Drosophila melanogaster: one gene and its partners. The gene in region 1 interacts genetically with each later gene. Each region holds a gene or a part of one and is shown on either strand. Other genes may lie near its edges. The genes, in order: jing, hth, sim and btl.

Region 1 (5,014 bases):
TTAAATAAATAAGCTTTTTAAATGCCTTTTCAAACGTGCGGAAAACCTTTTTTAAAGTCGTATTAATACACATTAAATTGGAGTCGAACGGAAAATATTTAGCATGGAGTTGATGTGAAAAATTTATTTAACATAAAGGTTTCTGTCTTCGTTTATGCGTTCGGAAGTTTTAGATATGTGATTATTTATGAGTCTATTTTTTTATCGTAATTAAACTGACTTTGCGTTGGTTAACCAATTTTCCCGTTGATGGTCAAGGAACATCATGCAGTTCGCTATCAATTTTAAACTGGTTTGATTCCTTACTTAGTTTACATGCCCACTTATGTAATTTTGGAATTATCTATAAAAATACTGAAAAGGCATAACTGTTTATTTGGACGTAATCGCTGACAAAAGCTGTATGCTGTGGCAATCTGAGCTTTACACTGAGAGCATTTAAAAGACCCATAATTTTTTTTTAATTGTGATGGGCTCCAGTATAATTGCCAGCTTAGATATTTTATTGAGGAAATGTTTGATTATATTTTATTTTTATATTTAATAATTTAATTTAATATTATCTACACATATGTATATGCATCTACAAAAATATTCAGCGAAGTATGAATGCAGCATTATGGTTGTTTTTCTCTCAATTGTCTCAATCCTATTTTCACTCTCTCTCTCCGTTTGCTGCAGTTTAATAGCTTTCCGGAAAATGCAGCGCAAAATGCGAACGCAAGCTTATAAACTTATTTAACTTGTCACTCTTACGCAGTGTATTTTTGCATTTACAATGGTTGAGTGAGCTATTTTTTGCAGAGCTTTTGTGAGCTAAAACATTTTGATTGTATTAGATGCATTCCTCGGAAATGAATTCATTCACTTAATTAAAGTGATCCCAAGTATGTGCAGTGTAAAACGTTCAATAGGAACAAACATTTTATTGGTAGAGTAAAACTGGACACCAAACGAGTTTTGTCGCACTCGCACACACCCGCAAAATTCTCGCGTAAACATGTCTTCTTTGTCCCTCCTGTTTTTGCAGTCTCCCTCAGTTGCATCGCACAGACGTACGTACCATTGCTTGTAGCGTAATAAAAGCACGTGTTGTGTTTGATTCCTCGCTCCCTCCCTTTCTTTGGTCTTTAAAAACAGTTGCGACTTTAGATTGTGTTTGTGAGAGAGCTGGTCTGGCTGCCTTGCTGTTTTGTTATTGTTTGGTTTTTGCCATAACTTTGTTTACTTTTATCTTTTTTTATACAAGACTCGTGTTTTTTTTGTTTTTGTTCTTGACTTTTTTGGCCTTATTAAGTGTGGGCCAAAACAGATACATATAGCCAAGGTATTGGTTATGGGTGCATATTCTCCACACATCTGTATTTAGCTTCAAATTCGAGCTCAAGTTCCCATATAACCATGCTCGCTTGGATGAACCGGTTTTGAGTTTTATCGAACCGCAGGAACCTCTTGTATTCTGATTAGTTCCCACACATATCAACAGGTAGCTGCAGCTTGGGTCGCTTGTGTGTGAGCGAACTTGCCACCGCGGACACATCGGAAGTTGCTGCCCATCTAGCCAGCCGCCAAATGCTGAAATTCAAATACGGAATCTCTGAACTTCCCCAGAAGTTCAAATGCACACACTCACACACACAGAAAGAACTCACATTGTAGCGCAACAAGCTCCCCACGCGACCCTCTCTCTTGGTCCCGCTCTCGAAAACCTGCTGCCGCTGCACAGAAATCAAAAGTGAACACACTGCACGCGGCCCTTTCTTCTCCTCTTCACCCTCAGCTCGTCGGAGAGCCCCTATTAAAACGAACGGCAGTTCGTTGCCTTCGTTCTTGCTTCGCGTGCTTCGTATCTTGATTTGTGCCCGGTTCTAGTTGGCTAAGCCATTCGGCTGGCACTCGGTCCGCCGCCTCGCTTCTCGTCGGCTACCTCTTCGGGTGGGGCCGCAGCGCTCGGTCCACTCCCACTCCACTTGGCCCCACTCGTCAGTCAGTCGGCAGGCAGAGCAAGAGCAGCCCGCAGCTTTTTCGTGGGGAGATCGCAGTTTTTCGCTTGCCAATCGATGGCGTTTCGGAATTCTTAGCTTGCAGTGCAGCGCTTCTTAGACTTTGTTTAATTTGGTTATACTGCAATTGGCGGCTATTAAGAGCAGTGACCACTACATTAATTATGAATGGTACGCGCGGCAGACAAGTTGGCCCCGCGATAAGTAAATCGCTAGTTTGCTGAGGCACATTGGAATGCATTTGATTAGATTGCGATGTGTTTGTTCGCCCGTCATTGTTGTCAATAAACAAAAGCTGGCTCGCAGTCACAGCGACTAGGAGGTTAACCTGACTTACCCGTTTCGGTTTTGAATTCGGTTTCATTGTCGCTTTCTTGAACTTGCGAGCACCGCGTGGCCAATCTTGCAGAATGAATTTCGGGTGTGCACCGGAAACAACCGACAGTGAAATAACTACTGGCCATTCACAAATCCATAAAGCACAGTGTAACACTTTGTAACGGATCGCAAATCCAACCACCCCACGCAAATCAAAACCGAACCCGCGACGTCGATTAATTTTATGATGATCAAGTAGTTTCTCGTTGAAATATCAATCGAATTGAAAAATGTGTGTCATAAGTGCAGAAGTGAAGTGCAGCTTAATGCCAAAAGTCATACAAGTGCAATTGATTTAAATGAATTTTTGTTTAATTTGTATAAATATTTTTACTTCTCGTAACTCGATAGTCCGACCCACGAAAGTCGTAAAATGCAAGTTCATGGCGATATATATATACCAATTTGTGCAAACTGATGGGGAAAATCGGAATGGTAACACCATTTAAGGGCAGTGCGGCTAAAAATTGCTGACGAGCAACTTTCAGATTAATGCAATTCAAATTGGCTTTCCGTCGACTAACAATAAGCCGTTGGGAATAGCAGATGTGTGCTAAAGCAGATCCAGAGTTCTGGCAGCAGTTAACACCAATTAAAAGCGTCGTTATAGCAATAGTGCAGCAAACATAGAGGGAAAATGTCAGTCACTCAGCCAAAGGATACGGCATTAAAGACCAAGGAGTCGGCAGCTGAAGTAGCAGCCCCTCTGGCCCCACTCTCTGTCAAAACAGCAGGAGCAACGGGACGGAAAACTTTAACCTCCAGCGCGGCTTTGTCACTGTTTGATCAGCTGAAAAATAGCGTCAATACAAACAGTTTGACAATTGGCGCCGGCGTCGGCAACAACAGTAGCCCAGAAGCCACACCACCTATAACAGCACCAGCCAGTACAACCACCGCCTCCCCGATACTTACTCCCAAAAGCCCACCACCCACACCACCCATCAACAAAAGCCCGTCTCTGTCCTCCAATATTGAACTGAAGCCCCCGGCCAAACCCGCTCGGCCCTTTACCTCGCCCAGCACTATTGGAATCGTGCAGGGTACCAAACGGGGGGTGGGCGGAGTTTTTGGCGGGTTTGGAGCCCAAGCCGCCAAATTGGATATAAACGCATTGCGATCTCAGCTCTACCAGGGCGCCAGGAAGACTGCAACAACATCTCGAGTGGGAGTCGGCAAAACAACAACGGTGGCAACAGCCCCAAGAACAACTGGAGGAGAACGTGGCACAAAGGGGTCCAAGAAGAGATGTCTAGATCGGTACGACTCGTCGGAGTCATCAGACAGGTGAGTGCATGTCGTGGGCACACTACTGAAGTTTGGCATTTTGCAGCGATAGGGAAGTACGTTGCTCTTCGACAGTTCTAAATTCTAGTCGTAATTTGAGATTTTTTGAGGTTTATTTAAATGCAAAGGCAGGCACGATGGTCGTATCTAATTTATGAAATATATTGAAAACTTAAAATTTTTAAGGAACACAATAAGACTTATTTAACAATAATAAAAAATAAACTTTTTGCATAAACACCTTTAGTATACGCCATAAAGACATTCAATAGCAGCTTACCCCGTCCCCTTTTCATCGACGTATTTAATGGCATCATTAAGCGTCTTAACAATGCAAGCTGCCAAATGTATTTCTTAGATGCACTGCCTAACTATAAAGGGAAATGCAAAAGTGTATCTGCGAACCGGCTGGCTGTGCCAAGTCTGAGCCAAAGAAAATTCTCTAAATATACACGCGCGCTGTACTGCCAAAAAGTGATCCAAAAGTGTGATCCGTAAGACACAAATAGAATGCAGCCCATCCCAATCATGATAAACGTATGAACCAAATCTGCAATGCTCAGCGAGATCTGGAAAAAGCTAATAGCCGATTGAGCTGAATTTATCTGACAGGTAATCGTTCCGATAATTGTACAGAACAGCAAAGTGCCAGTCTTGTAAGGGGCCTACGAGGCACGTGCCTCATAGATTGCAAATTTATGGCTTACAGATACATTTGTATCTACTCAAATGGGCAGCCACAAAACCTCTTGCCGCAATGCCAACTAATTTCCGCTCATTAAAAATGCGCAGCACAGTAGAGGCAGCAGTGGAATGGAAACAAAGGAAGAGCAAAGGCCGCAACGAACTGCAGGCATTTGTATCTGGCAGATACGCACAACATGCGTTCATTTATCAGCCGCAAATGGCGGCTGATGCGCCGCAGTAGCAGAGCTGCTGATTTTCCATGCGGCGCGTGGGCGGTTGAGCAAACGAAAACAGCTTCCTGGCTGCATCGATGTAGATATAGATGCAGATACGAGTCCGAAACCGAAACCACCCCCTCGGGGAAATTAATCTTGAATATGGACGGTGCTCTCTGCCGATCTGCTGCACAATTGTCGATTATGTTTAAGTTATGTTTCGGTTTTCAGAAATGGTTCTGATTCCATACATATCTTCTAAACGCCAATGTGGCATTTGTGTCTGGTTTCGCAGCAGCATGTTTCAAATGTTTTGTGGGGAGCGTTTTGTCAATTGGCTTGGCCTTATCACCGTCCTCGTATCACCTCCCCAAGATCGCGTTCCCTCGTTGACTGGTGAGCGATTTCGGCGTTGCTTCTTTCTCTTCGTTGGCAGTCGGAAAT
Region 2 (4,966 bases), on another chromosome or scaffold:
AACATTTCGTTGGGATCCTTGAACTTTGCTACCGCGTCGATCGATCTATTCGAATTTAACTTGGTCACCGATAAGTCTGAAAAGTTCCCACACTTAAGCGTTTCACTAATTTATTGCACTTAATTGATTCGATTTTATGTGATTTTTGTTTCACATAAATTACTTGGCTTTTGGCCCGAGCAGACGCACAAAAGTTGGACGTCTGAAAAAGCCAAAAGAAAGCGAGTCCCGAAACGAAAAAAGGGAAAAAGCAACCGCAAATCAATCAAAGTCTCATAAATTTGTCAAAGTGTTGACAAGACGCAGAAACAGAGCACCTATATCATACATAGTTCCCAAGATTTTGGGGGTTTGGGATTTCGGGATGAAATGGCAACCAGATTAAGTGCAACATCATCTTTTTGACCAGCGAAAACAGACACGGGAAATCCTTTTGGCGAGCGTCGGAAAACAAACAAGGCTATTTTTCATTTTCCTAAAAACGCCGGCCAAATCGCCCCGTCTCTCTCGCTCGCCAGTATCCCCGTCTCTTTCGGCGTAATGGCAACTGCAGCGCCAAGCCAAAAATACGCTGGTGAAAAATGGCCTGGGAATATGTGTTAACTGCTTTTTAAACTGCCACGAGGACGACGACACGACAGTAACAATAACAGCAACAATAGACAGGATTTCGGACTGAATACGAAGATTGGCATACCTTGTTACCCTGTAGTTATTGGTAAAACAAATTGGACTAATTTATTTTAGTTTAAAATGTAAAAAAAAATTTGTACAATCACGCCGAAGATATCACAATTGACTGAAAATTGCCCAAACATACTTGTCATCAAAAAACTTGTTCAAATAATGCAAAAGCCCGTTTCCTCAATTTTTTATTTTTGGTTTGAGATGTAACACCATTTGTACAGGGTATATAAAAAACCAAATGAGAGTAGATTCGCCAAACAGGAGCGCAGAATGACCTGCAAAATATGCAATTTTCAGCGAATGTTTTTGACAATTTATCGCCGTTCCATTTGTTGTTGTTCCCCAAGAAGTAAGAAAGAGAGAGAGAGGAGAAACTCGAACAGCTGTTTGTTGTTGTCAGGATCGCATATCCTTCCAAAGTGGCCAGATCACCGTTACAAGCCAAAAGGACGCAATAAAGGAACTGCAGCGAAAAGTTTGTTTTTGTCGTCCACGTTTCTTCTTCTTCTCCTTCAAGTTTCTTCTCTTTTTTGCCGCTTTTCTTCGAAGGCGTTGCCTATTCGGGCAAAAGTGTGTGTGTGCGAGTGTGTGTGGGGGCGCCAAAAGAGAGCGAAAAGTGAGCGAAAGCTGAAGCTGATGGACAACTGAAGCTTTCTCGCTGCCTTTCAACCTGTAAAGGTGCGGCGAAAAAGAGCCAAGCTGCCAACTGCCACTCACTCAAGCGAAAATAACAAATGGGATTGGTTTTTGCTGATTTTCGACGCCGACGCCGGCAGAGGGGCGAAAAACCCATAAGCCGTCTCCTTTTGGCCAAAGCCAAATAAATTTCAAACGCGGCGAACATTGCGCAAAAAGAGGCGAAAACTGAGAAAGAGAAAGAGATAGAACACCGCTGTACGGTACTGTATATGCATGTGAATGACAAGTGTGTGTATGACAGAAGAGGCGTACCAACAAATCAGTCATCGTCGCCCAGGATGCGAGCGCGCCTGCGCAGGCAATTCGCCGGAGCGTTCGCATAAACCATATATTCCTCTCGCTTGCACTCGCTGAGTTATGGCCAAGAGCGAGTTAATGGCACAATTGTTGCATCTGAACAGAGCGGGGCAGCTGCATGATTGACAATCATGCCGCACCGCTTGCACCCGTTGACTTTGCTGTTGTTTGTCGCTCAGCGCTCTCTTCGCTGTTAGTTAACAGCGATGTTAGGAGTGGAAACACGTCCGACTGTAGCGTAAATTCAAACGTATCTGGCGGGTTGGTTTTTCGATGAAATATCTTTCATCCGCACAGTGTATTTTTGACTGCGAAGCGCGTACGACGTGTGTCTGTGTTGCGTTGCGTTCGAATAAAAAAGAGAAGAAAAGCGAAAAAGTGTTGCCGTCGGTGAAGTTTATTATTATTATGATTATTATTATTGCCCGTTAACCACGCGTTTTGCCATCAATCAACAAATAAACAACACAAGAAACACTTTGGAAATCGCGCGCGTTTTTCCATCGCGCGAACAAAACAATCACGTTTTTTAGTGTGTTTTTCAATCACAATCGAAAAGTTCTCCTTTTCACAATTGAAGGCCAAAATAAATACTGTTATTTGAGGGCCGCGGAGGGAATTTCTTTCAACGAGGGGATCCCGCCGATCCCCCCGCAAAAACAAAGAAACACGCAAATTGCCGTCGCAAAAACACAACAGAATATATTGCATTATATATTAACAATATAATTTGTTCATCTCTAGTAACGTAGTATGTAGAAGCAGCTGTGATAAATAGTGCGCATATTATACGAAAAAAGCAAAAAGAGTATACGACAAACAAATAAAAATTAAAAGCAACCACAACTACTACTATAAAAATAACCAAGGAAAAGGCAAGGAAACTCGCAAAACGAGAGAGAGAGGAAAAGGGAAAAAACGCCATGGATTTATGACAACAACAAATGCAACCCAGTAACAAATGATGTTGCAGCAACTACTACAATACACGAGTATACCAAGAACATCAACAACAACAACTGCAACGGCAACCAACAACAAATTGTATACGATTTTTATAAACCAAACAAATGCTATGTAAATAATTATTATAACAAACACACAAGTAAAAAAAACATTCAAAACCAGATCTCCCGCTCTAGAAAACAAACAACAAACGCGCGCGTAACAAAAACGACAACATCAACAATACAACAAGTATACAAACGTAATAATAATACATAAAATCTAAACAAATGTGCCTGTGTTAAAAAAAAAGAAAGCAAAATCAAGAAGCAAAGCGTTCAAAAAGCAAAGGCTTCCCAATACATGAAAAAAGTGCAAAACATATATAAAAATCCAAGAAAATAACATCCAAAACTGAAGAACTGGAAAAGCCAAGAGTAAATCTAAGGACTCCACACGGGCAGCTACAGTAGAGCTTCCCTAAAACCGAAGCAGTTGCAGCGGCGGAGCGGGACGTCGGTCAGTGTGTTGCGCCCCCATTTGTTGTTCCTACTGTAAAAAGTGGCACAAATCGGGTTAGACGTCGCTCCCAGAGCATTAATGGCTCAGCCCAGGGTAAGTAGATCCACCAAAGTTCACTTTCTAAATATATAGAATCCATATAGAATGGTCCCCCGAGAGTGTTGTTATCCTTAAACAAGTTCCGACGGCTAAAAAACAAATGGGGTTCAGTCAATTTGTAATCAAGTCAAGTGGTGCCGACGGCACTTACAGGTTGTAGTTTATGATGATATTGTAACAGTTTTCATATCATGGATATGTTACCAGTGTAACCAAATCAATCTATAACCAGAATACGCAAAAAGTTTTAAAAATCTTCAGATATTAGTTAATCCAACTTCATGAAGTAGATCTATATAAATATTTCTTATACATGGCCTCCAAGCTTCTCCAATTTAACCCATTACAATCAATTCAATGGGGAATAGTTCTTGTTTATTAGAGCCCTATCAAAATGAATTTTAACTAAGCGTTTCTGAGTGTGTGTGTGTGTGTGTGCTTATGTGTATTGGAATAGGACAGAAATCACATTTGATTTATGCGGGTCATTTTCTGGTACAAGTTTATATAATTAACTGAGTCTGCAGCTAGACCATTTTATTTGGGAAGTGATGGAAATCAAAGATCGCCGAAATAGTGATAGATATTGTATTACATTAAACAACGGTTTACTCTAGAAAATCATTAAATAATGTTTATTGAAAATTGTTAGCTTTTCCCCTTAACTTTTCATTTTCACACCGCAATAGTTGATTCGATTTTTGTTTAAACATGGCTGGGACCTTCACCTCCGAAAAGCCCCCCCGTTGCATAGCCACAATGATTCCACCATTTTCCATCACGTTTATAAGGCATAAATTCTCGCCTCGCTTTTTAAACGGAGTAATAATTTTTACAATCCATCTGGATCGTAAATTATATGCTAATCAGGTGACCGGCAGTCTCCGCTCGCCCGCTCTTCAAAAAAATATTATTACCAAATCGCAGTTAGACTTTATCAATTGATTATCATGGACATGCGAAGTGAACTTGATTTTTATTTAACGGAGCAAAAAGACCTCAAACATGGCCGTTTGCCTGTGTGTGTGCTACCAATTAGCGTGTGTGTGTGTGTGTGTGTTACCAAAAGGTGGGCCATGCTCTTTGGGAGCATTAAAAAAATCAGAAAGAAATATAAAAAATAAAAATGGATATGGAAATGGAAATGGAGATGGGAAAAAAGAAATGCCCGCGGGAATTTTGTGTGTGTCTGCGTTACTGGCGAATAAATTTACGCCTGTGGTTTAATACCCGATTCTGTGCCGAATTTACCTCTTTGAATCCCCTTTTTCGTAATTCTCCTGCGGCTCTTTACCCGAATCGCGCCATTTCAATTCCATCAAATGAATTTTTCGACTCGGGGCGAGAGATATATGTATGTATGTACGAGTATGTGAATATATACGGGTGTTCTGTCTGTTTGTGTGCATTTGATGCATATAATTTTATTGCACATTTTGCACATTGCCAGCGGCCCAAAAGCGATCCATTCAGTTTATGCCGCTTCGTGGTTTTATTATTTACAATTTTATTTTTACCATTTTCCATGACTTTGCGCTGCTATAATTTGCGAAAAATGGCGGGAAGCAATTTTCGCGGGTTCTTCTCAAACCAAACTGCACATGCATTTTTATATATATTTAATTTGATTATTTTATGCCATCGAAACGGAGAGCAAACGAGAGAAACAGTGAGAAAGAGCGGCCGTGTAAAATGTGCAAAAAAAAAAAATGTGCAA
Region 3 (7,613 bases), on another chromosome or scaffold:
GAGATCCGGTTCATTGAGTTGCCATTCGAGGCATGAGTCGCATTTTTATACGCTTTCCGGGAAAAGATCGTTAAAGTTTGAGTTTCATTGTCGTGAAAGGGGAACTTTTTTAGCCCTAGGGTTTATAAATATAATTGAAAAAAAATTTGAAATGACAATTTATTTAACATTTTTTTAATTTTCTGTAAAATATTAATCCTAAAGATGTGCACATTTTACGATGATTTCATACTATCTAGCATGTTTTGATTACATCTTTGTTTCCTATATCCAGAATTGAGATTATTGAAACAAACGCTGATATATCAATGGCATATTCCCGTATTTATGGCTATATGAAATGCTGTAATGTTCAAATGGAATAATGGCTTATATCCTGAATAATTTTGACCCACTTACGGCTCGTAAACTATCCTATTAAATGGATTTGCCGGCATATGATATCCAACCCTCTGGCTGACTCCTGTCCGCATATTGTACGCTAGTCGAGTCAAATATGGCAATCGCGGCCTAAATGGGAACGCCTCAGTTTTCCCCTATTTCCCCTGGAATTTCCACTTCGCCAACGGAGAAAGGGAAGCAACCTCACTTCAGACGTGCATGTTGGCACATTTGCGTTGCGGATTAGCGCGGAATACTCTTTAGGATTATGATCGTTGGGCAAATCTGTTGCTCCTGCGAATGCGTAACGGATGTCGACAATTCCCTCAATCTCTGACTTTTGACAAATGTTTCATTTCTTGCTGCTAAATGGATGCAAAGTACTATCAATACAAAGGAAACACTTTATTGGAGTTTTGGCTTTGATTTATTTTTTAATTTTTTATCATAAATTAGCTAAGCTCTAGTTATTCCAATATACATTTAGTTGAAGTATAAAATTTGAGGTATATATTGCATTATATGGCCATAAAAGACGTCGGATTAACTTGCATATCTAACATTTTTGTGGGCAAATTAGCGGCAAAACTAAAAACATTTAAGATACGTGACCTAAGTCAATAAACTTGTATTTACGTGCGAATTCCAGCCATTCGGTACATTTAGGTAAATGGCCAATTTCTTTGAGAGTGACAGAAAAAGTGACTCGATGGAAAATAAAGCAGCAGGAGTTCCAATGGCTTAGATTTTGCCAAAACTGCGCCAAAATCACGTTCGAAAACTATCAATGGCAGGATTCCGGCTGTGGGTCATCCTCATCCTGGCTGTGGATGTGTGTGAGTGTGGTGCATATAAATTTCGCCACCTCCTAAACTCTCGTTTTGTTTGGCAGTGTGCGTGGGACATCATTTGGGTATTATGTGCTCGCACAGACACCAGAATATTTGTGTGTGTGTCTGTGTGCATATAGATATAAGTGAAACTCCTGCGGTCGGCAAAAGTCAACCTGTTGAATGCAGGAGTCACTTGGAGTGAGATGGCAGCTATTTTCGTCTCGCCATTCGGCAAAAATGATCTGAGCAAATTAGTAACATTGCGAAAAGTCAATTGCCCCGGGTAAACAGGTAAAAATCCAGTGCAGCCAATGGCAGGTTGTTTTCTCAGGATCAGGTAACAGATCCTTTTCGGGATCAGTTGGGAAACTGTTAAAAGTGCTTGTGCCGCTGGAAAGCGGCTCAGTTGCAAACAGGTGATTGCAGGGATATGAGCAAGTGCTGAGAAGGTGCTCGCAACAGTCTCAAAGCAGGATCTATAAAAAAGGATATCTTTAAAATGACTAACCATCGGCGAGTGCGCAAGGATTGCTATGAGAGCAGATTGCATGGTCGGTTGTGGTTTTTGGCAACGAAATATATCAACGTTCATTTTTTTTAGTTTGTTACCAACTTTCTCCTCTGTTACTAAAAATGCTTTTTGGTTATTTCGATTTTTGCAGATATAGCCAAAACGTGTGCCATGAAGGAGAAAAGCAAAAATGCGGCACGCACGCGACGTGAAAAGGAAAACACGGAATTCTGTGAATTGGCCAAATTACTGCCGCTGCCGGCGGCGATTACTTCGCAACTGGACAAGGCCTCCGTCATCCGGCTGACCACGTCGTATTTGAAAATGCGCCAAGTCTTTCCCGATGGTAAGTTCAATCGGAAAATCGTCCTGCGGAAAAACTCACTTGATTGGCGCTCAATTTGTCGCCGCTCTTGGCTTTTCATCTCGTGTGAAATGCGCCTTGTGGCTACACGGCAAATGATGCGGAATCTTTGACAGCCACGCGACCGACACGCTCATTATAATCCAAGCTCGTCATATCCTCGCAGCAGGACATGCTCCTTTGTTTTCACTTTAACTCCAATGTACTTGCAATGATTTCATTTCATTCCATTTTACGCTGCCAGTTTTCAAGTTTAAGCGGCTATGTTTGTTTAAAGCATATGTTGGCGAGAATCGGCCAGGGAAATAACAGGGAAATAGCACTCAACAAATGGGCAGACAATAAACAGCAGGATGAAGTGGGCGGCTGGTTGGGGTTGGCGAAAACACAATGGCGGCTGCTTGGTTGTTTCACTCAAAGAGCAGCGAGAGCCGCACTGGAAAACCGAACTCGAACATCTCCCCCCCCCCCCCCCCCACACACACACACACACACACACATTTCCCGAACTTTTCCCCACCGACCATGTGAGCGTGCGCCACTGAGATTTTCTGCTGACAAAGAGGGTTGCTCGAGAAGTGAGTGGGTGGGTGGTTCGTTGGTCGGTCGGTTGGTTGGGCGTTTGACGCTCCCATTGTTGCCGCACCGTTTTGTGCTTTTCTTTTCAGCCTTTATTGAAATAATTATTTTAATAATAGGCAACAAACAACGAGATCCGGACGGGCCAAGGAAGTGCCAGTGGTATTATGTACAACACAATATATGTTGTATATATGGTGCGAAGTCGATGAAAGTCGGGGGGGGTGGGCCAGTGGGTGGAATGGTGGGCTGTGAATGGGCCACCTACGGCGCTCGATGACTTTAATTGGGAATAATATTTAGACGTCAGCAGTGGCAAGTAGGGCGTGTGCTGCCACTGCCACTGCTGCTGGTGGGAATTTTGCGAATTAAGATACTTCGAGCGGATGACAAACAATTAATTCAGGACATTGGGGCGGATAAGACAATAGAAACGGGAGCTTGACATAATACTAAATCCAAGTCCAATCAAACGGAGACAATAGAAAGGACAGCTTAAATATAAAACTATATAAAAATCATTTAAAACGGAATACAATTTGATTGTATTAAGTAGCAAGAACTTTTTAGATTTCATTTTTAAAGACAATAAAACATGTTTCATAAATCTAAATCTTATTTTGTAGGTCTTGGCGAAGCCTGGGGCTCATCGCCTGCCATGCAACGCGGCGCCACCATCAAGGAGCTGGGCTCCCATCTGCTGCAGACGCTGGACGGATTCATCTTCGTGGTGGCTCCGGATGGCAAAATCATGTACATCTCGGAAACGGCCTCCGTGCATTTGGGCCTCAGTCAGGTGAGTGTCGGTGAATGGATCTCTTGTCCTGATTTATGCGCATAATTTGCCGGGCCACCTGAATTTGCCTTTTTGTATCCTGGCCACCACTTGCATTTGCAAGTCAATGGGCTTGAATGGTGCAGGTCACCCAAGTGCTGTGGCTTCAGTAAAGACGATTCATTTGCATTTGCCCACTAATTGGCACTCAGTGCTGGTGGAGCAAATTAACATAGCTCCACTTATATGATCAGCATAAAGAAATTAACTTTACATCAGTATAGGATATATTTTATATAAATTTAATATTTAATGGTTTATTTATCTCTTTTTTTTAACCAGGTTGAGCTGACGGGCAACTCGATATTCGAGTACATACACAACTACGATCAGGACGAGATGAATGCCATTTTGTCGCTGCATCCGCACATCAACCAGCATCCAGTGAGTAGAGCATCCGTGTTTCCACAGAGTCCTTTGAAACATTTGAAAATGTTTGCGCTCTCTTTCTTTCTCTCTCCATCTCTCTCTCTCTCTCTCACTGCCATGCATCCATCCTACTCTGACTTGTACTCACGCCACAGGCCGCCTTTCTCAACTCCCTACAGCTCGCCCAGACGCACACGCCCATCGGCAGTCCCAATGGCGTCCAGCATCCATCCGCCTACGACCACGATCGCGGATCGCACACCATCGAGATCGAGAAGACCTTCTTCCTGCGCATGAAGTGCGTCCTGGCCAAAAGGAACGCGGGCCTCACCACCTCCGGATTTAAGGTAAAGAATTTTATACATACCATTCCTTTAAATGGATTGATTGCTTATCCTTGTATTACTTGATGATTTTAGGTGATACACTGCTCCGGCTATCTGAAGGCTCGCATCTATCCCGATCGCGGGGATGGACAGGGCAGCCTCATCCAGAATCTCGGCCTGGTGGCCGTCGGTCACTCGCTGCCTTCATCCGCCATCACGGAAATCAAGCTGCACCAGAATATGTTCATGTTCCGGGCCAAGCTGGACATGAAGCTCATCTTCTTCGATGCACGGTAAGTGTAATTCAAATTTCCATTTAATTAGGGCACAAATAGATGAATAGTTCGTTGTCTGCATATTTTCTATCACTTTGTATTGAAATCCACTCGAGAAATTCCTATAAATCTTACAACATCGATTTATTGGATGTTTAAATATCCTTAATGTTTAATATCCTTAAATATCATAATGTAATTCTAAGACCAATTTTTATCCGTGTAGCCTGGTGCTTTCACAGCATAATTTTTCTCACTGCACTTAAAAAATTCTCGAAAGTATCCTTTGCCTGTTTGCCGTATATTCGACACTAGGCAAATATTTAAACGGGCCGCAGAATTCGTTTTTTACACCACGATAAAAAGTACCAGCAGACGCCCCCAAAAAGATAATGTTTTCAAAGTGGCGGAAAACAAAAAAAATAATCGAGTAGGGAAAAGGAAATGTAAGCAAGACGGTGGCGACATGACAAAAGGAAAAACAAATCATTTCCCTCTTGAGCTTGATTTTCCTTTGTCCCTGTGCGTGTGTGTGAGTGTGTGAGTGAGTGCTGAGGGGGAAAGGGGACGCTGTGTAAGTGCCTGCCGGGCCAAAAAACCAGCCCACTTTGTCTGACATTATTGTCACTCAATTACCCTCATGATGCCACACAGCATATTGCCATCCTATTCTGGCGCCCTCGCACTTTCGCAGCAAACAACCCCAAAGTGCTGAGCGGGAAATCAGCCCCTTTTTCGCCGCTTCTTTTTTTTTTGTTTTCCTGCATAATTGAATTGGAGTCGGCAAAAGTAAACCAACCGAATAAAACACGCCAGCGACAAAGGCAACACCAATGACCATTCATTCACTGTTTAAATAAGCCAGCGAAACTTTTGCCCTCGACCTCGAAACTTATCCCCATTCTCATGCTCATCCTTTTGCCTGTTTATTTGCTTACAGCGTATCGCAGCTAACAGGATACGAGCCGCAGGACCTCATCGAGAAGACCCTGTATCAGTATATCCACGCCGCGGACATCATGGCCATGCGCTGCTCTCATCAAATCCGTAAGTACACTCATCCCAATACACTGCCATAATAATTTCCATAAAACATCATTCTCATCGAGTTTGTTTCTTCTCTCCCTATCAATAGTGCTGTACAAAGGACAAGTGACCACCAAGTACTACCGCTTCCTCACCAAAGGCGGCGGCTGGGTGTGGGTGCAGTCGTACGCGACACTGGTGCACAATTCGCGATCCTCGCGAGAAGTGTTCATCGTGAGCGTGAACTATGTGCTGAGCGAACGAGAGGTGAAAGACTTGGTGCTGAACGAGATTCAGACGGGCGTTGTGAAGCGGGAGCCCATATCGCCGGCGGCTCAAGCGGCACAGGCAGCTCAAGCGGCCCAAGCGGCCCAAGCGGCACAGGCGGCACAGGCGGCACATGTGGCTCAAGCGGTGCAGGCCCAGGTGGTGGTGGTGCCCCAGCAGTCGGTGGTGGTGCAGCCGCAGTGCGCCGGAGCAACGGGTCAGCCGGTGGGTCCGGGTACGCCAGTTAGTCTGGCCCTCAGTGCAAGTCCCAAGCTGGATCCGTATTTCGAGCCAGAGCTGCCGCTGCAGCCGGCCGTAACGCCCGTGCCCCCAACGAATAATAGTAGTAGTAGTAGCAACAATAACAACGGCGTGTGGCACCACCATCATGTGCAACAGCAGCAGCAGTCCGGCAGCATGGATCACGATAGCCTGAGTTACACGCAGCTTTATCCGCCCTTGAACGACCTGGTGGTGAGCTCGAGCAGCAGTGTGGGCGGTGGCACCGCCTCAAGTGCGGGCGGTGGATCCAGTGCGTCGGCCTCGTCCTCCGGCGTTTACTCCACGGAGATGCAGTATCCGGACACGACCACCGGCAACCTGTACTACAATAACAACAATCACTATTACTATGACTACGATGCGACGGTGGATGTGGCCACCTCGATGATACGCCCATTCTCGGCCAATTCGAATAGCTGCTCGAGCAGTTCGGAGAGCGAAAGGCAGCTGTCCACCGGAAATGCCTCGATTGTGAACGAAACATCGCCCTCACAGACGACCTACAGCGATCTGAGTCACAACTTCGAGCTGAGCTACTTCTCCGACAACAGTTCGCAACAGCATCAGCATCAGCAGCAGCAGCAGCATCTGATGGAGCAGCAGCATCTGCAATACCAATACGCCACCTGGTGATCCTAAAAATGTAAATAACCAAATGTTGGACGATGAGCCTTGACTGCTACTGTACTGTTGTTTATAAAACGTCGACTGCCCCCACCCCACCATCCGTTGCAATGTTATATACACCTCTGAGTTCTCAGTTCGAAATTGTAATATGTGGCTGAGCCACACACCATCTGAATTTCAGGACCTCCTCTATGCCTCTATTTTATTTATTTAACACCCCCACCATGCATTACCCAATGCAATGCGTTCGCGTTAATTGTGCAGTGTAAAGTTACAAAGAAATTGATACAAAATGCTAAGAAATTAAGAATGCGGAATGATCGTTGTTAACAAATGCAAAAGCAAATACAAATTCTAATAATAAATAGTTGTAAGGCCTAACTGTAAACTGTTCATACAAACTAACTTAAATTAATTGCACATACTTATACTTATAACTATATAGTAAAGCGCATACACTTGGCCCCCATAATCATGCATACACATCGGATCTACGAATATACATATGTATATGCAATAATGTGTAAATAGTGCAGGGTCCGCTCCACTATGCAGTTAACGAATATGATCTTCATAAGTCAAGTAAATAATTGTAAATGTAAAATCTATTATTATCGAGAATTTTTCTAATTTGAATAAACAAATTATTACGTGGGTGAACAATAAAAAAAGAGCGAGAGTTCGATTTTTTCAAATAAGCGCCGCTGGAAGCCTCTAGAGTTATTATTTAATTTAGTAATCTTGGTTTACAAATAAAATGTTATTTTCAAAAACTAGCACCTTTATCTATTTCCATTATCTTTGTTTTAAAATTATCTATTTATATGCTTTTATATATTTCACAATTTAGCGTTTTAATCAAATTTTGTATGGATTGAAAAATGCAGCTTTGACGCAATAGCCGATTTTAAAATATTTCGTTGCATATTTTTAGGTAA
Region 4 (7,794 bases), on another chromosome or scaffold:
GCATTTTGGACCAGCTGTCACGCAAGCCGGATTATTGTCACTTCGAGTTCTTCCACGGATCGCGAAGCAAAGGCCGCAAGACGGAGTCCATCCAAAAAGATCTTCGCAACATTTTTACCAGCTGCCTGCAGCATGCCCCCGCCATTGTTGTGCTAGAAAACTTGGATGTACTGGCCCACGCTGCTGGAGAGCAGTCCAGTCAGGATGGAGAGTACTACAATCGCATGGCGGATACTGTGTATCAGTTGATTGTTCAGTATACCACCAACAACGCTATTGCAGTAATCGCCACCGTCAACGAGTTGCAGACCCTCAATAAGCGATTGAGCTCACCAAGGGGAAGACATGTCTTCCAGACTGTTGCTCGTCTGCCCAATTTGGAACGAGCAGATCGAGAGATAATTCTTCGAGAGCTGTGCAGCCATATCAATGTGGCCAAGGACCTGGATCTTGTTAAGTTCTCCAACCTCACGGAGGGCTACCGGAAATGTGATCTTGTTCAGTTCGTGGAGCGTGCAATATTTTATGCTTATCGCATAAGTGAGTAGTTTGTAGTGTTAGTAAGCAACTTTATCATGTTAAATTCCCTTTTTTCCAGGCAAGACCCAGCCTCTTCTGACCAATGATCAGCTTATTGAGTCCCTGGAGCACACAAACTCGTACTGCCTGCAGGGCATTCAGAGCAATCAAAGAACTGGCAATGATGCCGATGCCAATGAAATGCGCGTCGAGGAGTTGCCTGGCCTGGAGTCAGTTGTGGGAGTTCTGGAGGAGGTCCTTATGTGGCCATCAAGGGTGAGTTTTAAACGAAATATATGTTTTTTTCTAAAATTTAATAAATCATTAATTTCTTACAGTATCCAACCATTTTTAACGCCTCTCCACTGCGCAACCAGGCCGGAGTACTTCTATATGGGCCACCAGGAACAGGTAAAACCTATCTGGTCTCTCAGTTGGCCACATCGTGGAACCTGCGCATCATTTCCGTCAAGGGTCCTGAGTTGCTCGCCAAATATATTGGTCAAAGCGAGGAAAATGTTCGAAACCTGTTCAATCGAGCTCGCAGTGCCCGACCATGTGTGCTTTTCTTCGACGAGTTTGACAGCTTGGCGCCGAAACGTGGTCACGATTCCACGGGGGTCACCGATCGAGTGGTAAATCAGTTGCTCACAGAACTGGATGGCGTTGAAGGACTGCAGGGAGTTACCGTGATAGCAGCTACCTCCAGACCGGAACTGCTAGATCCCGCGCTTCTTCGATCCGGTCGCATTGATCGCTTGGTGGAGTGTCCTTTGCCGGATGCTCCGGCCAGAGTACGTATATTTGAAGCACTCAGTTCAACACTGAGCCTTGATGAGTGCGTGGACTTCGATTGGTTTGCGGGAAAAACTGCAAACTACACTGGCGCCGATATCCAGAGCATCCTGACCTCGGCGAACATGGCGGCGGTTAAGGAGGCGCTAGCTCAATTCGGACACGAGGTGAGCTGGGAATTATTTTCACCGGAAACAATCTGCTTTATGGGTCATGCAAGCTTTCAACCGTTTCTTTCATGTTTTATTGTTTCTCATCCTGATTTCAAATGTAACTTCTATGTAAAAACTCCTTTACGTGTTTGTCTTTTAAATCAAAAGTGAAATCTATGCTACTTCCTGCAACAATGATTAGTCACGTAGTTCTTAGTCTCTGGCCACAGTATAAAATACCATTTGTTTCTTATTGCTTTCCCAGAAACTGGCAAAGAAAATTTCCTTGAAGCAGAAGCACCTGATTGAGTCGTTCCAAACCACTCGTCCTTCGCTCAGCGCCTCCGATGTGGCCAAATATCACAGAACGTACGTAACAATGTCTTCTTTGTTCTTCTGTTCTTCTTACCTTTTTAATTATCTCTTGGTAGGTATGCTCGCTTTACCAACAAGGAGAAGACTTCTAGGGAGTTTGTAGCCAAGCGTGCGACCTTGGCTTAAAGACAAAGACTTATAAGCTTAGCATTATTATTATTTTAAATTGTTTTTTGCATATTTGTACATCTGGAAAATGGAACATTTTGTTGGAAGACGCAAGTCTTAGGTAGTACATATTTCATAATTTTTCTTGTTGAAAAATAAAAACCAAATTTCTTTTATGATTACTTCGTATAAATCCATATACCACTCCGGAGTGTTAAATTGAAAGAATATTATATTTTAATTATAATGTACATACATGTATAAAAAAGAGAAAGAGATGTTCAAATTTAAGAACTAATATCTTTTCGCATTCTGACCTCGGTAAACATGAGTGCTGTTAAGGGGTGGCTCCTTAACAAATGAAGACATCAGGTGAGTTTGGTTATTAATTCACCGGAAATTGTGTTTAGCTATAACAAGTTTTTGATAGCTAGTTTGGATAGTATGTCCCTCCTTTTCGTATTTCCCAACTGTTTCGCATTTGTTCCCATAGCCCCTAACAAGTGCATCAAAAATGCATTTAACTATTTTTGGGTAGATTACGTGCCCGGCATCTGGATCTGGATTTTGGCCTATGCGGGAGCTAGCTGCTGCCATGCCACATGCAGCAACTGAGATTTTTGGATATCAGTCACGTAACGGATATTTCCTTATTGATATGCGATTACCGCGCATGCGCACGTACTGCACACCACTAAGACAATGGACACATTTTCTTTTGCATAAATTAAGCCGCCAAGCAAACAAACAGGGAGGGAACCCGAAGGCCAGATAATAAAGAATTTCAACGAGTCGAAGCCACCGCAAACATGCTTAGAATAAAACCAACAAGAACCTAGCAGAAGCAGCAGCAGCAAACCAGCAATAAAAAGAAAGGAAACCGCTCAGGAAAACTACCAGCGAAAACAATTGCAACATGCGGGAGGGAGACCACCTCGATCAGGTAGCCGTCCGAACCCATACCATCCCATCCGAAGACCCTGTGCCCAGGATCCTAGCAAACATTATCGCAGGGAACCACAGATATCCACTCGTTTCGTATCGTATTGGATCGTATTGGATCGGTTCGGTTCGATCGGCACGTTCGGATCGTTCGTATCGTACCGCGTAAAAGTTTCTTCCGTTTCGATCGTTACTTTCAGTTGTTTGCGCACATTCAAGCCAATCGGTTGGCTCCTTCCACAAACTTTACGGATTACGGTTAGTGCAACGGAAGTGAACCCCCCCCCCCCCCCCCCGCCCAACACCAGCTACCCATCACATATTTCTTTTCATTTATGCCTGGTAAAGGGAAATAAAAGTTGGCAACGAAGCGGAAATGCAAGGCGCCTTCCGCTGCCCTCTTGCCGAGTCTTAAGATTTTTATACAAGCCCCAACCGCGATTGACAGCCGAATAAACATAGTGACAATGTTTTTTGCAATCTTATTTGCCTTCTCCGGCTCCTCGAAAATAAAAGACAAAGAACGTGATTTTTTTGGTCAAAGATTTGGGGTTGTGGCATGGCAGAAAAGAATTGTGTTCCCACTGCGAACTGACAAGCAGCAGTGAAACCAAAATAAAGCAAAAAATAATTTAAGAGTGAATTGTTCCAGCAGTAAAATAAATACAAATCTTTCCAAGTGCAGCCAAAAGATCATAAACCACAGATAAATAAAAACAAAAAGTCTGCAAAGTAACCAAATGTTAAAAATAAAATTTTAATTGAGACAAAGAAACGTGATAAAACTGATTCATACATAATTAAATAAACACCAATGAAATAAATAAGAAAATAAAATTAAAGTGATGTCAATTGTATGAATGAATAATTTATGTCTTGATCCAAACATTCCTTTTACATTAAGTCAATGTTTGCAGAAAGAAAACTGAATGGGGAGTTAATACCCAGGGTTCCAAATAAAGAACTTATTCTATTCTCGATATAGCTGATTGACCAAGTTGAAATATCAAATCGTTCATGCATTAGATTTATACGCTCGATAATAATTCACAAGATAAAAAGGTGTGAGCTAAACGGTTTTGGCCATGTGCGCTTGTGGCTTAAAATCGAATCGAATAATATTGAATGAATGACAAACTGAGAAAAAAATTAAATAAAAATAGCAATAATACATACTTCAAATACAGCGATCGACTCGTATTTGGCAACAAATGAGAAAAAAAGGAATTGAATAAATTAAAACCTGCGACGCGTGTGCATACATACATAAATCGGGCCTGAAGTCAAACGGCTAGCGGCTAGCGGCAATATCGGCTAAAACAACAACAACAATTACTGGCAGCACTAGCACCATATTAACAACAACAATGACAATCGCAACGGTTGTCCCAAGCCTTACAAACAATAAAATACTTTTCATTAAACAGCACAGTGGTCAAAACGATTTTATAAAAGTTAAAAATATTTTAATTTTCTGATAGAAAAAATAGTCGAACTATGCTATGCCCCCATTATTATCAATATTTTCTAAACTTCGTTTAAAACTTTACATTTTGTACAAAGCTTACATTCGCAGACAACAAGTTTGGGAATTTACCCTATCATCATTAATCATTGAACTAAAAATTGTTTATTTTTATTTGGCAAACATTTGACGAACCCAAGTAGATGGAATACCCACTGTCCTATACCCTTTACGTGATTATACTAAAAATTAATTTTGAAATAATTATCTGCTATTAGGATTTTCGAGCAGTGTTATTCAGTGTTTAAAGCATAACTTTATTATAAATATACCTTTTAATTGATTAAAATGCTGAGCTCATATTGCACAGAGAATTTGAATGTTAATTAGTTGCTATTTCAGATTGTGGCAAATCATTTAGGTATTTCTCGATTTGTTGTTGCAATTCTCTAGCACCTTGTCTGTTTGTTTTGTAAGTGCAAGTATAGTACTTGGGGAATAACTGAAAAGTGTGACACCACTGTAACAACTGATTTCAACAAATAGCTAAGTGATTTTCTAACTGTTCGGCATTTAGTTGAATGGAAATCGAGGAGCGCAGGCCGCAGCAACAAAAGCATTTGGCGAACGTCGAATATAGACAAGTTATAATGGAGATCCCCTTCGGTAGTGGGTGGCGACGAGTGTGTCCGGCAATTCGGTGGCTTCGACCACGTCTTCCAGCTCATTACGAAGGCAGGGCACACAGTTTTCGTTTGTTTCAGTTGCTTCTCCTTTGGATTTTTGCATATCGGTGCGGACAGACTTGACTTGGCTGTGTGCCGTGTTGGCAATAAAATATTAAACAATAATAATAAATAAATAAAATGACACAGATCGGGAACTAAGGGAGGGGCAAAAAGTGAAGCGGAGATTTGGCAATATTTATTGATCCACTTATACAGCTGCGGTCAAAAGAATAGTGGCACAATAGTGGTATTCAAGTAACGAATAGCTAATAATATTTGCATTCATAACTTCTTAAATTTAGTTAAATTAAACAAAATTCCAAAGTGTTATTTTTAAAGTATAATATATCAATCAATGCCATGTAATTCATATATTTAATCCTTTCCTTTAGCTGGAGAACGCTCGATTTGAAATCGAGGAACTCGAATGAAGATACCCACAGGAAGTGATATTATTTCGACCGCAACTGTAACCCATATGTACACGATCGTGCCCATCCAGATACGAGATCTTGGTGGCTGTTGAACTCAAGAGAATCCACTTGAATCATGGCAAAAGTGCCGATCACGCTGGTGATGATCATTGCGATCGTCTCTGCCGCTGCGGACCTGGGATGCGATTATGGCCATCATCGTTGCTACATCGATGTGACTGTGGAAAACAGTCCCCGCCAGCGCCATCTGCTCTCCGACATGGACATCACGCTGCAGTGCGTCCGACCCATGGCCAAATGGTTCTATGAGGATAAGTTTCAACTGAGGGCTACCCTTTTGCGACTTGAACGAGCACAGTCCGGAAATTCTGGAAACTACGGCTGCCTGGATAGTCAGAACAGATGGTACAATATTTCCCTTGTTGTTGGCCATAAGGAACCAGTTGGCAATGATATCGCCAGCTTTGTCAAGTTGGAAGATGCACCGGCCCTCCCGGAGTCAGATCTCTTTTTTCAGCCCCTGAATGAGAGTCGATCCCTGAAGTTGCTGCAACCCCTACCCAAAACCGTACAACGGACCGCAGGTGGCCTTTTTCAGTTGAACTGCAGTCCCATGGATCCGGATGCAAAGGGTGTTAATATATCCTGGCTGCACAATGATACTCAAATCCTTGGTGGACGTGGACGCATTAAGCTTAAAAGGTGGTCATTAACAGTGGGGCAACTGCAGCCGGAGGATGCTGGAAGCTATCACTGTGAGCTGTGCGTGGAACAGGACTGCCAAAGGAGTAATCCGACCCAATTGGAGGTGATAAGCAGAAAGCACACGGTGCCCATGCTAAAGCCCGGATATCCCCGCAATACCAGCATTGCCCTCGGGGACAATGTGAGCATTGAATGCCTACTTGAGGACTCTGCCCTGGAGCCGAAGATCACGTGGCTACATAAGGGGAATGCGGACAACATCGATGACCTCTTGCAGCGTTTAAGAGAGCAGTCCCAGCTACCTGTGGATGTTACCCGATTGATTACCCGAATGGATGAACCGCAGGTACTTCGTCTTGGAAATGTCCTGATGGAGGATGGCGGATGGTACATATGCATAGCCGAGAACCAGGTTGGACGCACTGTGGCCGCCTCCTATGTGGATCTTTACAGTCCCTCAGATACTACCACAGTTCGCACGACCACTACTACCACCGTGGCCAGCCCAATACCCACTGCATCCACCGGAGAGGACAACGATGACGACGTGGAAAATCCAGCAGCGGAAGCATCAGGCGGCGTTGGTCCACCTGTGTTCAGAAAAGAGCTGAAACGATTACAGCACTCATTATCGGGAAATACTGTCAATCTAGCCTGTCCAGTGTACGGCAAAGCGAACATCACCTGGACGAAGGACAAGAAGCCGCTAAACCGTGAACTCGGCGTCTATGTGCAAAAGAACTGGACACTCCGCTTCGTGGAGGCCACCAGCGAGGATTCTGGACTATACAACTGTAAGGTGTGCAATGCGTGGGGCTGCATCCAGTTTGACTTCAGTGTCCAAATAAACGATCGCACGAGATCCGCACCAATAATCGTGGTGCCGCAAAATCAGACGGTGAAAGTCAATGGCAGCTTGGTGATGAAGTGCACCGTCTACTCTGATCTGCATCCAACAGTCAGCTGGAAAAGGGTTGTCCTCAAGAATGCCTCCTTGGACGGCCTTAAGTCTGTGGAAATCCAGAATCTCAACTTCACCGTGACGAATGACTCCGTAGTTTTAACGCTTCGTAATGTGACCTTTGACCAGGAGGGCTGGTACACCTGTTTGGCCTCAAGTGGTCTGGGAAGGAGTAACTCCAGTGTGTACCTTAGGGTAGTGAGTCCTCTGCCACCTTTGGAGATCTACGCCCTGCTGCACGCCCATCCTCTCGGATTCACCTTGGCCGCTATTACGATAGTGGCTTTGTTCCTTTTGGGCAGTGCTTTCATAACGTTCATGCTGCGTCGGCTGAGGAGGGAGAAGCTCCTGAAGCTCCGCATCGAAACGGTTCATCAGTGGACTAAAAAGGTGATCATATACCGACCGGGTGGAGAAGAAGGAAGTGGCTGCAGCTCCGGCGATCTTCAGATGCCAGTGATAAGGATCGAGAAGCAGAGAACAACCGTTTCCACAACGGGAACTGGCGGTACTGATCCCGCCCAGGGCTTTAATGAGTATGAGTTCCCGCTGGACTCAAACTGGGAGATTCCCAGGCAGCAGCTTAGCTTGGGCTCCATTTTGGGTGAGG

Evidence for each region.
Region 2: of jing (region 1) and hth, changing one enhances a phenotype caused by changing the other (phenotypic enhancement), as found in Drosophila melanogaster (one study listed by BioGRID).
Region 3: of jing (region 1) and sim, changing one enhances a phenotype caused by changing the other (phenotypic enhancement), as found in Drosophila melanogaster (one study listed by BioGRID).
Region 4: of jing (region 1) and btl, changing one enhances a phenotype caused by changing the other (phenotypic enhancement), as found in Drosophila melanogaster (one study listed by BioGRID).

What each region holds. Positions count from the first base shown.
Region 1 is NT_033778.4:6,500,021-6,505,034, forward strand, and holds the start of jing (jing), read left to right. Parts: upstream 1-1,985; 5' UTR 1,986-3,018; coding exon 3,019-3,668; intron 3,669-5,014.
Region 2 is NT_033777.3:10,611,262-10,616,227, reverse strand, and holds the start of hth (homothorax), read left to right. Parts: upstream 1-1,951; 5' UTR 1,952-3,228; coding exon 3,229-3,243; intron 3,244-4,966. UniProt on the Drosophila melanogaster protein: All isoforms are required for patterning of the embryonic cuticle. Acts with exd to delimit the eye field and prevent inappropriate eye development.
Region 3 is NT_033777.3:13,070,786-13,078,398, forward strand, and holds sim (single-minded), read left to right. Parts: upstream 1-1,613; 5' UTR 1,614-1,713; coding exon 1,714-1,765; intron 1,766-1,876; coding exon 1,877-2,071; intron 2,072-3,294; coding exon 3,295-3,464; intron 3,465-3,785; coding exon 3,786-3,887; intron 3,888-4,027; coding exon of another isoform or gene 4,028-4,051; coding exon 4,052-4,219; intron 4,220-4,291; coding exon 4,292-4,491; intron 4,492-5,413; coding exon 5,414-5,520; intron 5,521-5,608; coding exon 5,609-6,681; 3' UTR 6,682-7,339; downstream 7,340-7,613.
Region 4 is NT_037436.4:14,073,979-14,081,772, forward strand, and holds the start of btl (breathless), read left to right. Parts: upstream 1-1,835; intron 1,836-1,897; coding exon of another isoform or gene 1,898-1,967; 5' UTR 1,968-2,070; exon of another isoform or gene 2,071-2,145; intron 2,146-3,086; exon of another isoform or gene 3,087-3,149; intron 3,150-5,476; 5' UTR 5,477-5,633; coding exon 5,634-7,794. Other genes in the region: Pex1 (peroxin 1), read left to right, coding at 1-540, 599-795, 858-1,481, 1,732-1,835, 1,898-1,967. UniProt on the Drosophila melanogaster protein: May be required for patterning of muscle precursor cells: generation of mesodermal and endodermal layers, invaginations of various types of cells, and CNS formation.